Linked DNA regions of Caenorhabditis elegans. The protein of the gene in region 1 interacts with the protein of each later gene in a pairwise test. Each region holds a gene or a part of one and is shown on either strand. Other genes may lie near its edges.

Region 1 (7,578 bases):
TAGTCATTTAAAGAATTACTGTAGTTTTCGCTACGAGATATTTTGTGCGTCATATATGTTGTGCAATACGCATTCTCAGAACTTAGTGCGCCCGTAATAATTAATCGACTAAAAAATGAATTTCAGACTATATGATTTTATCGATTTTTCGTCTGAAATCTTTAAAAAACCTATTTTCAACGTCGTTTTTATCCGCTAGTCGGCAATAAAAATCGATTTGGTTGAAGCTACCAGGCTACAAACTACAACTTATATCGATTTTCCCTTCCAGAACCCGATCCGCTACAATCGTGACACTCTAATGACCGCCCGTGACACTAAACGTGCTCCAATTCCGGATGAAATGCTCCAAGAAATCAATCGAGTTGCTCCAGACATTTTGATTGCTTAATGTGTGAATTCTAGTATTTATTGCTTTTTCCCCTGAAAATTCTTAGTTTTAGCCACTTTTTTATTGTAATTTTCCAGCATCTTTTCATTATTTTAACCCCCGGGGTGTGTGTGATAACTATTCCAAAAATTGATACTATGAGCTGCTATTTTTTTAAAAATAATTTTATTCTATTCAAAAAACAAACAATGAACACAATCACAGTTGAAAACTACCGAAAAAAAATTAGAAAAAATCAACAAAAATTGAGGCAAAAAAAAATCAAATTTCGAGCTCCCAGAGCCGAATTGTTCCGTCATCCGAGGCCGAAGTGAGCAAATTTGAAAATTTCGGATTCGGGTTCCATGCCACGTGGTTTACGTCAAGCTCGTGGCGGCCGACAACTCCGAGGTGCTCAATGACTGGAGATTCGGGTGTGGAGGAGATTTTGAATAGTCTGGAAATATGATTACAGTCGTGGGCGGCAAACGAGTTTTTCCGGCAAATGGGTGATTTGCCGGAATTGAACATTTCCGGCAAATCGGCAAATTGCCGGAATTGCAAATTTCCGGCAAATCGGCATATTGGCAAATTGCCAGAATTGAAAATTTCCCGCAAATCGGCAATTTTGCAAATTGCCGAAATTGAAATTTTCGGCAAATCGCCAGAATTGAAAATTTCCGGCAAATCGGCAAATTGTCGAAAATCAACATTTCCGGCAAGTCGGCAAATTGGCAAACTGCCGGAATTGAAAATTTTCGGCAAATCGGCAAATCACCAGAATTGAAAATTTTCGGCAAATCGGCAAATTGCCAGAATTGAAAATTTCCCGCAAATCGGCAATTTGGCAAATTTCCGGAATTGAAATTTCTGCCAAATCGGAAACTCGGCAAACTGGCAAATTGCCCGAATTTAAAATTTCCGGCAAATTGCCAAAATTGAAAGTTTCCGGCAAGTCGGCATACCGGCAAAACGCCGATTTGCCGGAAAAAACGGCAATTGCCGAAAATTTTCGGCAAATTGTGGTTTTGCACATTTTTTTAAAAATAAAATATTCCGGCAAATCGGCAAATTGCCAGAATTGAAAATTTCCGTAAAATTGCCGGAATTGAAAATTTCCGGCAAATCGGCAAATAGCCAAAATTCAAATTTCCGATTTGCCGAATTTGTCGACAAAAAATTTGCAAATTTACAAAATTTGCCGGACTACTAACTACAAATTTCTCCAATTTTTCAACACTTTTCGTACCTAATTTTGCAATCTCCACCACCGGTGGCAATGACGTCATTCGTAGAATTCCAGGCCACCGAATACAACGGCCATCGTGTATTTTCCACATCATAACGTGCCACAGACTTCCACGTGTCTTGATCAGCAGATTTGGAGCCAATGTTCTCACGAACGAAAAGCTGTAAAAGAGCATTATTGTTGAGGCCAAGGGTGTCATTTTTCGATTTTTTGATGTTTTTCGGTGAAAATCGAAAAATCGAAAAAAAAAATGTTCAGAAAATTAGCCATAAAATATGATTTTTTATTTAATTTTGTTTATAATGATGAGAAAAAAATTAAAATTTCTTCTAAAAAGAAGAATAACGGTCAAAATATTGAGCTAATTTTTGAAAAATCGAAAAATTTTGGTTTTTCGATTTTCTAAAAAAATCAAAAAACCGACACCCTTGGTTGAGGCTGTAGGGAAAACTGCAACTTTTTTCGAACGAGGGCCGAGAAAAAATGCGAAAAATCGGTGTTTGCACACAAAACACCGCATTTTACGACATTTTCTACTTGCTTTGTTTTCTTTCGTTTTTCACCGATTTTTCCCGTGTTTTCTTATTAAAACTGATAAATACATATTTTTTGTTAATACTAAAATAATTTCCAGATGAAAAAATTGTGAATTCAGCCGGCAAGTAGCGGTGAACGTGGTCAATGTAATATGATGGATTACGGGAATACAAAACCCAAACTTTTTCCCAAACATGATACATATGATGTTTAGATGCTAAAAGTACCTGATTTTCATAACGAGACCGCTGAAAAAGTTTTGAGATTTTCAAAATTCAACTTTTTTGGTAAAAAAGTCGAGATTTTGGCACAAAATGTTGAATTTTGAAAATCTAAAAACTTTTTTAGCTGTCTCGTTATGAAAATCAGGTACTTTCAGCATCTTAAAAGCATATATATCATGTTTCAGAAAAAGTTTGGGTTTTGTATTCCCGTAATCCATCATATTACATTGCCCACTTTCACTGCTACTTGCCGACTGAATTCACAATTTTTTCACTTGGAAATTGTTTTAGCATCTGCAAAAAATATTTATTTATTTGTTTTGATAAGAAAAAACGGAAAAAATCGGTGAAAAATGAAAGAAAACACGCAGAAAACAAAGCAAGATAAATGGCCGCTGAAATTTGTCGGGGACTCGGCCATGGCCTAGAAACCTTTTTGCCTCGTCCCTCGTTCGAAAAAAGTTGCAGTGTATTGTTGAGGCCAAGGGTGCCATTTTTCGATTTTTTGATGTTTTTCGGTGAAAATCGAAAAATCGAAAAAAAAAAATGTTCAGAAAATTAGCCATAAAATATGATTTTTTATTTAATTTTGTTTATAATGATGAGAAAAAAAATTAAAATTTCTTCTAAAAAGAAGAATAACGGTCAAAATATTGAGCTAATTTTTGAAAAATCGAAATTTTTTTTCGAAAAATCGAAAAATTTTGGTTTTTAGATTTTTTCTAAAAAAAATCAAAAAACCGACACCCTTGGGGTTGAGGCTGTAGGGAAGTTTGTAGTTTTCTACCTGAATACAATGATCTTTTTTGTAGTTTTCTAGTTTGTAGTTTTCTACCTGAATACAATGATCTTTTTTGTAGTTTTCTAGTTTGTAGTTTTCTACCTGAATACAATGATCTTCTCCAACAGTCACAAGGCGATGTCCTTCAGTGTCAAATGCGATGCTCCATACAGTTCCCACGTGACATCCGTCGATTTTCTGTTGTGTTACCCAGTCTTCGCCGTCGAATCGGTAGAATCTGATTGATGAGTCGTAGCTGCATGAGACGAGAAGCTGGAAAAAGATACGTAGACTACAAACTACAACTTTTTGTGTAGTTTGTAGGACAAACTACAAACTACAATCTAGAAAAGCCTCTGGTTGAGCACAAAAAGTGCAGACTTTTTTTTTGAAATTTTTTTTTTTCAAAAAACTTTTAAAAAACTTGTTTAATTTTCTGTAATTTTTTGAAAATTAAAATGTATATATTTTTCATATTTTTATAAATTTTTGTTGTTATTTTTTCGAAAAAAAACATCGAAAAATCGGAAAATTTTTACGATTTTTTTTCTTTTAAAAAATTGTTTTTTAATAATTTCAGGTTTTTTCAACTTTTCGAAATATTTTTCCAATTTTCTCAGAAAAAAAAACCGGAAAATCGCAAAATTTTTAGGGTTGAGCACAGAAAGTAGCTTTTTAAATTTTTTTTTTTGTGGAATTTCCAAAAAAATCGTTTTTTTTTTCAATTTTTTTGAACTGATATCTTTTGATAATTTAAGGTTTTTTTACAAAAAACCTCTTCTCTGATTTATTATTATTTTTTAAACCGAAAATTGGAAAGTTTTTAGGTTTTTTTTGGAATTTTCGGGAAAAAACGTTATTTTTTTAGATAATTGTTTGAAATTTCTCTAATTTTTTCTCATTACAATTACCAAATTTTTAGTGGAATTTCCAAAAAACATTTTAAATTTTTTTAAAATTAAAATCAACTTTTTTTTTCAATTTCTTGTGATTTTCTGATTTTTTTTATGGTTTCATGTTAAAAAAAAATAGAAAAATCGGAAAATTTCCTTTTTTTTGGAATTTTCGGAAAAAAAAATAATTTTTTAGATAATTGTCTGAAATTTCTTCATTTCTTTTTTCTCAGCACAACTACCATATTTTTTGAAATAAAATATGATTTTTTTTTTTTGAAAAATGATTTTTTTTTGTTTTTTTAATTTGGTTTTTATAATTTTTCCAAAAAAAAAATTCAATTTTATCTGAAAAAAACCGAACAAAAATTTTTTTTTTTCGATTTTTTAGAAAATGTTCAATTTTCGTCCATTTTTTTGAAAAAATTCTAGCGATTGCCGAAAAGTATCGGAAAAAAAATCATTTCTTGAAAAATATTCAGAAATCTATAAAAAAATGTAATTTTCCGAAAAAAAAAAGCCATTTTGGTTTTTTTTAAATCAAATGGAAATTTTTTTAAAGTTCTACAGTTATTGGAAAAATGTGTTTTTTAAAAATTATTTTCTCAAAAAATTGAAATTTCAAAAAAAAAATTGATTTTTTTTAAATTCAATCAATTAAATTCAATCAAATTTCGTAGTTTCTAGTCTACAATCTTCTACAAACTACACATTTTGTAGTTTGTAGTTTGTAGTTTGTAGTCTCTGCACCACTAACATCTTCAGTTGGATGCCAGGCGACTTGTTTCACGTCCTGTGTGTGTGGCTGTAGAATCGATGAAACGCTGAAATCCTCGTCCTCGTCCTCTGCAAAATAAGTGGTTGAGACTACAAACTACAAACTACAAACTACAAACTACACACTTACGTTGCCAAAACCAGACACTTTTATCTCTGCTACATGTGGCCAAAAACTCGTCACTTTTCGAGAAAACTGCACATTTTACTTCACTTTCGTGTCCTTCTAGCTTGTTGACTTCGGCGAATTCTCCGCTGAAAATTGTAGTTTGTAGTTTGTAGTTTGTAGTTTGTAATTTTTTTTTTAGATTGCCACTAATTTTATCGATTTTTCACGATTTTTTATGCTAGAAACGCTAAAATTATGCATTTTCAACCAAAAAAATTAAAATTTTCTTCGATTTCTATTTTAGTTGAGGTTTAGACTACAAACTACAACTTTCTAAGCTAAAAACTCACTCTTCCTGCTGATAAACCACGACGGAAGCGTCAAAACTCGCAGAAACTAGACATTTTCCGTCATTTGAAAATGCGACTGATCGAACCGCCCGTGTATGACTGTCATCCAGTGTTGTACGACACTCCAGACGCATTTTTGAATCTGAAATTTGGGAATTTTTAGAGATTTTCGAATTTTTTAAAGGAAAAAATCTGTTTTTCGATAGATTTCCTTCGTTTTTATGTTTTCCACACCGCTGATCACGATTTTCTGCACAATTTTCAATAAAAATTGACCAACCAGGCTCTCCAACGAGGCTCCAAACCCTGACAGCCTTATCGTCGCCGCAAGAAGCCAAAATTCGTCCTCCATGATGCCAACACGTCATCCAAACTCGACTTGTGTCATCTTTCTCGCCTTGGTGATAAAATTCACCGATTTGTCGCAGCATTTTCCGGTCTGAAAATTGAAAATAAATTTAAAAACTTTAGAAACAATATTTGAAGGAAAATTGCGAATAAAATGAGCGTTTTGTGTGAAATTCCGGGTGAAATTGATGGAAAATTTAAAAATAGCTGATTTATATTTTTAAAATAGCAAGAATCTTAAGAAAAACTAGAAGAAATGAGAAAATTGCTGAAAAAATCGCGATAAAGAATTATCCAAAAAATTCCAGTGCAGTCGCGCTCCATCGTCACGCGTTAGAGAGTGAGAGGGCGCAGAGAAGATAAGACGAAAAACGGCGCGAGACTTGGAGACCCGAAGAACTCGGGGGATGTCCAATTGGGGGGATTACCAACTCGGGGGATTGGCCCCGCCCAAAGAACCGTGGCTTGCAATACGCCCATTTCTGCAACTGCCGCACGGTTTTAAAATTATTTTTTCTTGTTAATTCTCGCTCTATTGAGAAAAATACAGTTTTAAAACCGTGCGGCAGTTGCAGAAATGGGCGTATTGCAAGCCACGGTTCTGTGGGCGGGGCCAATCCCCCGAGTTGGTAATCCCCCCAATTGGACATCCCCCGAGTTCTTCGGGTCTCGAGACTTGAAAATTAGTTTTTTATTTGGATTCAAATTTGAACTGAATCAGGAAAACGCTCTGAAATCGAAAGGAGAATTTTATTTTTCAAACTTTGGAATGAAAAAGTATAAAATTTATCATTAATTCGTGAAAATGTGTGCAACGGCAATTTAAAGGCACATACACAACTTTTCTGGGCGGGTCTCGTCACGATCTTTGTCATTTCTAAAGCTACAGTTTCCAAAAAAGCTCAAATGATTGAAAATGCAAGCATTAATGTTTAATATTGAGTTGGAGACCAGGAAGAAGAAAACCATTAAATAAGTGGCCGAGTTTCTTATTTCGCGGCCAGGTTCGTTCAAAAAGTTCAAACATCGCGCAAAATCTTTGAAAATTGCAAAAATTAATGTTTGATGCGGGAAGTTGTTGTAATTTTGCAAGCATTTGCAATGAAATGAGACCCCTCCGAACGGAGGGGTTGATCAATATAAAACAGCGATTTTTTTAAAGAAATTTCATAGATTTTTTTTTTGGTTTGTCGATTGTTTAAACATCACTTTGTTTTCTTAAATTATCAAAACTTTTACAATCCCATTAGCAATCTGCGCACAGTTCCCGAAACCGTGCGCAGCTTACAAAATGGGCGTGGTTTAATATGCCTTTAGGAATGAGATCCATCCTGCTACTCCTACTGGCGGCATCCATAGCTTCAGCTATCTTTGCTCCTGGAGCCAGCGGAGGTTTTGGAGGTGGAGGTTTTGGGTCACGATCATCATCATCATCATCAGAAGAGGGACGAGGACATCACGGTCACGGCCACGGCCACCATCATGGAAGACCCCCACGGCCACGTCCACCACGTCCGCCAGTATCAAGAGAACCCGAATGTCCAAGTGATTGGTTGTCGTTTGACAGACCTCAGGGAGTCTGGTGTGTCAAGGTGAGCGAGCTACAAGTGCTAGCTCTTTATAGTTTGTAGTCTTACAGGTCTTCTATGAATCACTCACTCAGCCCATCGCCGAGAGTAGGTGCCAGGCACAAGGGGCCACATTGTCCGGATACCAGAATGCCAATGAGCGAATGCAAGTTTCATGTGAGATTTGTAGTTGTTGTAGGCTGGGACCTATCAACCATTATCACGAGGTGCCAGGCTGTCCAATTACGGATTGATCTACAAAAAATGCGGGAATTTTGTGCCCAGCAAAAATATGTGACGTCAGCACGTTCTTAACCATGCAAAATCAGTTAAAAACTCTGCGTCTATTCTCCCGCATTTTTTGTAGATCTA
Region 2 (5,004 bases), on another chromosome or scaffold:
ACTTTTTTTATTTCCGATTTTGCAGTCAAATACCTAACGAGACCCAACTTTTGGGGGCACAACGTTTTTTTTTCTAAAACTAATTTTAATAACTTACTTGTAAATCTACACCCGATGCATATCCATTTGGACACTTCTGCACAACTACTTGAAGCCATGAGCCAGGTGCACATCCAATATCGATTACAGTACTCTCCGGTTTCAGAAATTTGAATTTCTCATTAATTTCGATTAATTTGAAGGCGCTCCGTGCTCGGTAATTGTGCTCACGAGCTTTAACCGCAAATTCGTCTGTTGATTGCCGTTGAATATATCTGAAATTTAAATTTGAAAAATAAATTTATATTTGATGGGGGAAGAAAACTCACTTGTGCAAATTTCCTTGTGATTTTTTCGTTGAGAACATCCTGACACTTTTGAACATTTTTTTTCGAATTCTTAATCACTAATTTTTCAACAAAAAAATAAATTCCCTGAATCTAGATACTTTTCTGGTGATTTTTAAATCTAACCTATGAAAATGAAAATTTCGACAAAAAAACTAAATAATTTTAAACACGTTTTTATTCGAAACCTGATAGATAGGCAACTTTTAATATCACAAAAACTTTAATCTGGATCTTTTTTTGGTTATTCTGGAACTCTGAGGCATTCGTTAACAGCGTGCATTAGTCCTTGATTTTCCATTGCAGCAGCTACTCGTTCCTAAATGAGACATTTTGAATTTATGTTTTAAAAATTAACTTTTTGAGGGGCTTGCTTCTAAACTAAAAAATACAATGTTTTAAATTTTTTTTGAATTTTTTTATTGGTTTATTCGGAAACTTCGGTCTTATTTTCTATACTTTAAAATTTAATTTCAAAAAATTTCGAAAATAAAAAATGCAAAGTATAAAAATAGACCGAAATCTCCAAATAAACCATTAAAAAAATTAAATAATTTTTAAAATGATTTTTTTGCCATTTTGCAATCAAAAAATTCAAATTAATGTTTTCAGACGGTTTTCAGCATAAAATATTAAGAAGAAATGTTGAATTATCGAATTTTGGCGAATTTTAAAGTTTTAGTGATTTTTTTAAATTTTTGCGCAAATTAATGCCCGAGTTTTGAAATTACGTTTTTTGGCAAATTATGATTTAAACTTTTTTTTCAAATTTTTTAGACATTTTCTAGCAAAAAAAAAAGCTAATTACATAGTTTTTAAAAATTTTTAAAGTCGTTATTTACTATTGATTTTTCCTCATTTTACATATTACTATAGTTCGAAACAGTTTTTTGCCAATTTTACAGGCGTTTTTCAGCAGAAAAGTCAATTTTAGAGTTTTTTTTCGATTTTTTTGCAAAAATAAATGGTTTTTAAATTATATAGATTTTACTATTTTCATCAAAAATTAAAAACTTACCTTGTCGGCCAACTGCCTGTTAATTGATTCTTCCGTAGAATGTGATCCTGGAGTGATTGAAACGCTAACTTTAACTTTCGGATGCAAAGATCTCAAAAGTTTCACTCGAATCGCCAAACCGATTAGTGTTGCCATACTGCAGTGTGGAATGGTTGGTGTGAAATTCACCTGAAATTTTTTTTCAAATTTAAAAAAAAATTAATTTTAAATTACCAATCAATAATTTTCTCGCAATATTTTTCATTAAAATTTAGTGATAGAAGGTAGAAAAAAAATATTTGTTTTACCTGAAAAAAGTTTATTTCAGTTGGAACAATTGGGAAACGCTCAAGAATTGTCTGATATTTGGAAAAATCAATTGTTCCAATTTAAATAAAAGCAAGATAAATCAACTTTTTTTATCAATTAAATCAGTATATTTTGATTAAATATATCAGGAGAGCCCTGCATTGCTGAGACCAATTTTTAATATTTTTTCAAGCGCATTTTTTTCACTTTTTTCCAATCAATGCTGTAGAATTTCTGTTCAAAGATTGGAAGCTTCTTGGAAATGTTTTGTAAAAAATTGTAAAAAATTTTAAAGTTATTTTAAAATTAAAGTTACCTTCACAAAGGTCTCTTCTTCGTCGATAAACACTTTGATAAGCTCCTCTTGAACCACATTTAACTGCTCGAGAGTATATGGATGCTCTGGATCGTTGATATCTCTGATCAGATCGAAAATCTCCCACGAATCGATTGGATCTTCGACGCTTTCATCTCTGGAATCATATTTTTTGAATTAAAAATAATGTAGTGGAATTGAGAGCCAATTTTTACAAGCGAAACAACACAAAAAATTCATTTTTCGATGTTTTCTATTTTTTCAAGGAAAATCAAAAACTTAAAAAAAACTCAGCAGAAAATTCTTTTTTTTTTTAAATTTAATTTTGTTTAAATAAAAACGTCTTCTAAACAGAAGAACAATTATCAGAATTTTTAGCTAATTTTAGAAAAATCGAAAAAAAATTCGAAATATTGGAAAATCGAAAAATCTAAAAATCAAAAAACGGAAAATTTTCGTTTTTCGATTTTATTTTTTCGAAAATCTAAAAACCGACACTTTTGACACAGATGTTCTGGAGCTTCAAAGTGTCAAAAATTCATCTCCTCTTCCATTTTACTGGAATTTTTTATTTAAATGTTTGGATTTCATGCGATTTTTCGTATTTTATCGTGTTTTTGTTAAATTTATTATGTTTTTCGTTTAAATAACAGGTAAAAAGCGTTTTTCTTGATTTTTCTGTGTTTTCAATTTAATAATCGAAGTAATTACGTTTCAAACTATAAATTTTCATTTGAAAAAATACGAAAAATGGCTGAAAATTCGAATTTTCAATTTATTAATTCGCTGTTTTTTTGCGGAATTTTTTAAAAATTCTGTACTTTATTTATATAAAAACTTAACCGTGAAAATATGCTCTTTTTGAATTCAAAGTAAACTTTTAACGATTAAAACTTGATTTTTGCGTTAAAACCCTCCAAAAACCAACCTTTCAGTGCCAGTAACAGGTCGATGACGTGGTTTTGAGTCGAAAAGTGTTGGATTTGCATTGTCGAGACGTTCTTGGCCCATTTTTATGTGATATAAGCCTGGAAATTAAGCTGGAAATGGAAAATGACGAAAAAATATCGGTGGCCTAGTGGCCGTGGAAGAAAAAACAATACATATGTAGTTTTTGGCGAAAATTTAAATTTGAATAATTTTTTGTTGCAATAATTTCCAGAGATATAAAAATTTGAAAAATACTTTGAGATTTAAAATCAAAAATTTATAGTTAAATTTTTAAAAAATGTTTATTAAATTCGATTCAAAATTTGGAAAATACAAGAAAATAAGGCAAAAAATCACAAATTAAAACAATAAAACCGCGTAAAAAATGGAATTTGGTCGGTATGTGTGTGATGAGAGTGAGATGACGAAACGAAGCACGCAAAATGTACAAAAAATTGGATAAAAAATCAAAAAAACTACACAATGAGATCCTCTAAATCTGATCCAACATTATCCAAAAGTCGTTGCTTTTTCGAGCTCCCAGAGCTCACGATACTTGTTGTTGAGCCGAGCAGTGAGCCAACTTTTGAGCTTAATATTGATAATTTTGAAGAAGCAGCACCTCGAAAAACAGCCGAATCGTCTAGGCCTCGATGCACTTGAACTTGGAAAGAGCCCGATTCGAGGAACTTCTGATGTCGTTTGAAGCTCGTCGTATAGAGATTTGCAATCGTTGGTTTTCGGAAGTTTTTGAGTAAAAGTGAAGAAGAAACCACGGAGACACTGGAAAGAGCCATTGCAGCTGCAGCCATCCATGGTTGAAGCATGAAGCCAAATGGGCGGAATACACCTGGAAATTTGGAAAATTATTAAAAGTGGATTGTTTTTTGTTATTGGAAAAATAGCGTTTTCTAGAAAAACAATATTTTCTTCTTTTTTTTTCTCAACGAAAATCAACGAAAATTTCATTAAATTTTGAATTTTTCAAATTTTCCAGACAAAAGTAGAAAATTTCCGTTTTTTTCTCGAAAAATAGCTTCAAACTTAAGCTATTTTTCTTTTTTTTCAGAAATTTTTTTTCTTAAGTACTTCTCAACAAGATAAACCGAATTTGATAAAATTTTGAATTGTTTAAAAATTTTCTAGACGATTTTTCGTTTTCCGGGTATTCGAAAAGTCGAAAAATTTTGATTTTTTTTGTTCGAAAAAAAATTACCCGGGTTTTCGAAAAATAGCTACAAATTTTGACCAATTTTCTTTTTTCAGAGAAAATATAATTTTTAAAGTTTTTCTCTTCAAAAAAAATTGATATTTAAAATTTCAAATTAAAAAAATGTTCTAGACATTTTTTTTCAATTTTTTCGTTTTTCGGAAAATTGAAAATTTTTCGACATTTTTAACACTTTTTATTCTACCATTTGAAATCGGTTTTTTTGTTCGAAATAACTTTTTTAAAATTCACCTGCAGCAATCGGAATTCCAATCGCATTATAAATGATTGCAAACAAAAAGTTCAATCGAATCCTTCTCGTCGTCATTTTCGATAGCTTAATTGCTCCAACAACATCCACAAGATCATTTCTAACAAGTACGATTCCAGCTGACTCAATTGCCACGTCACTTCCTGCAGCAATTGCGATACCAACATTGGCTTCTGCGAGAGCCGGCGAGTCGTTGACACCGTCTCCAACCATTGCAACTTTGTTTTTGTATCCTTTCAATTGCTTAATCTTTTGTTGCTTTTGATTTGGAAGAACTTCTGCGAATACTTCATCAATTCCGACTTGTTTCGCAGTTGATTCTGCAGTTTTCGAGTTATCTCCTGTGAGAAGTACGACACGAAGACCCATTTCACGTAGAGTATAGATTGCAAGTGATGCTTCTTTTTTAACTTGATCAGCAATTGAAATTACAGCAACCACTTCCGCTGAAATAGTTAATTTGTCAATAACTACAGCTGTTTTGACAGACGAAATTGACTTTTTTCATTAAAAAAAAAGGATTTTTTCAGTGGAGTAAAAGAATTTTTAAAGCAAGATCCAAGAGCAAGATCCAAGACCAAGAAA

The links. The genes of interacting proteins can lie anywhere in the genome.
Region 2: the proteins of ciao-1 (region 1) and ciao-2B interact in a two-hybrid assay, tested with the Caenorhabditis elegans proteins (one large-scale study listed by BioGRID).

What each region holds. Positions count from the first base shown.
Region 1 is NC_003279.8:12,852,542-12,860,119, forward strand, and holds ciao-1 (putative cytosolic iron-sulfur protein assembly protein CIAO1 homolog), read right to left. Parts: upstream 5,741-7,578; 5' UTR 5,722-5,740; coding exon 5,571-5,721; intron 5,433-5,570; coding exon 5,291-5,432; intron 5,087-5,290; coding exon 4,962-5,086; intron 4,901-4,961; coding exon 4,812-4,900; intron 3,435-4,811; coding exon 3,264-3,434; intron 1,781-3,263; coding exon 1,620-1,780; intron 828-1,619; coding exon 653-827; 3' UTR 535-652; downstream 1-534. Other genes in the region: mxt-1 (Eukaryotic translation initiation factor 4E-binding protein Mextli homolog), read left to right, coding at 272-391; clec-104 (C-type lectin domain-containing protein), read left to right, coding at 6,958-7,230, 7,278-7,383.
Region 2 is NC_003281.10:13,436,507-13,441,510, forward strand, and holds ciao-2B (MIP18 family protein F45G2.10), read right to left. Parts: upstream 3,039-5,004; 5' UTR 3,020-3,038; coding exon 2,937-3,019; intron 2,166-2,936; coding exon 2,009-2,165; intron 1,573-2,008; coding exon 1,405-1,572; intron 706-1,404; coding exon 631-705; 3' UTR 548-630; downstream 1-547. Other genes in the region: F45G2.9 (rRNA methyltransferase 2, mitochondrial), read right to left, coding at 98-314, 369-406; cua-1 (P-type Cu(+) transporter), read right to left, coding at 3,415-3,788, 4,401-4,865.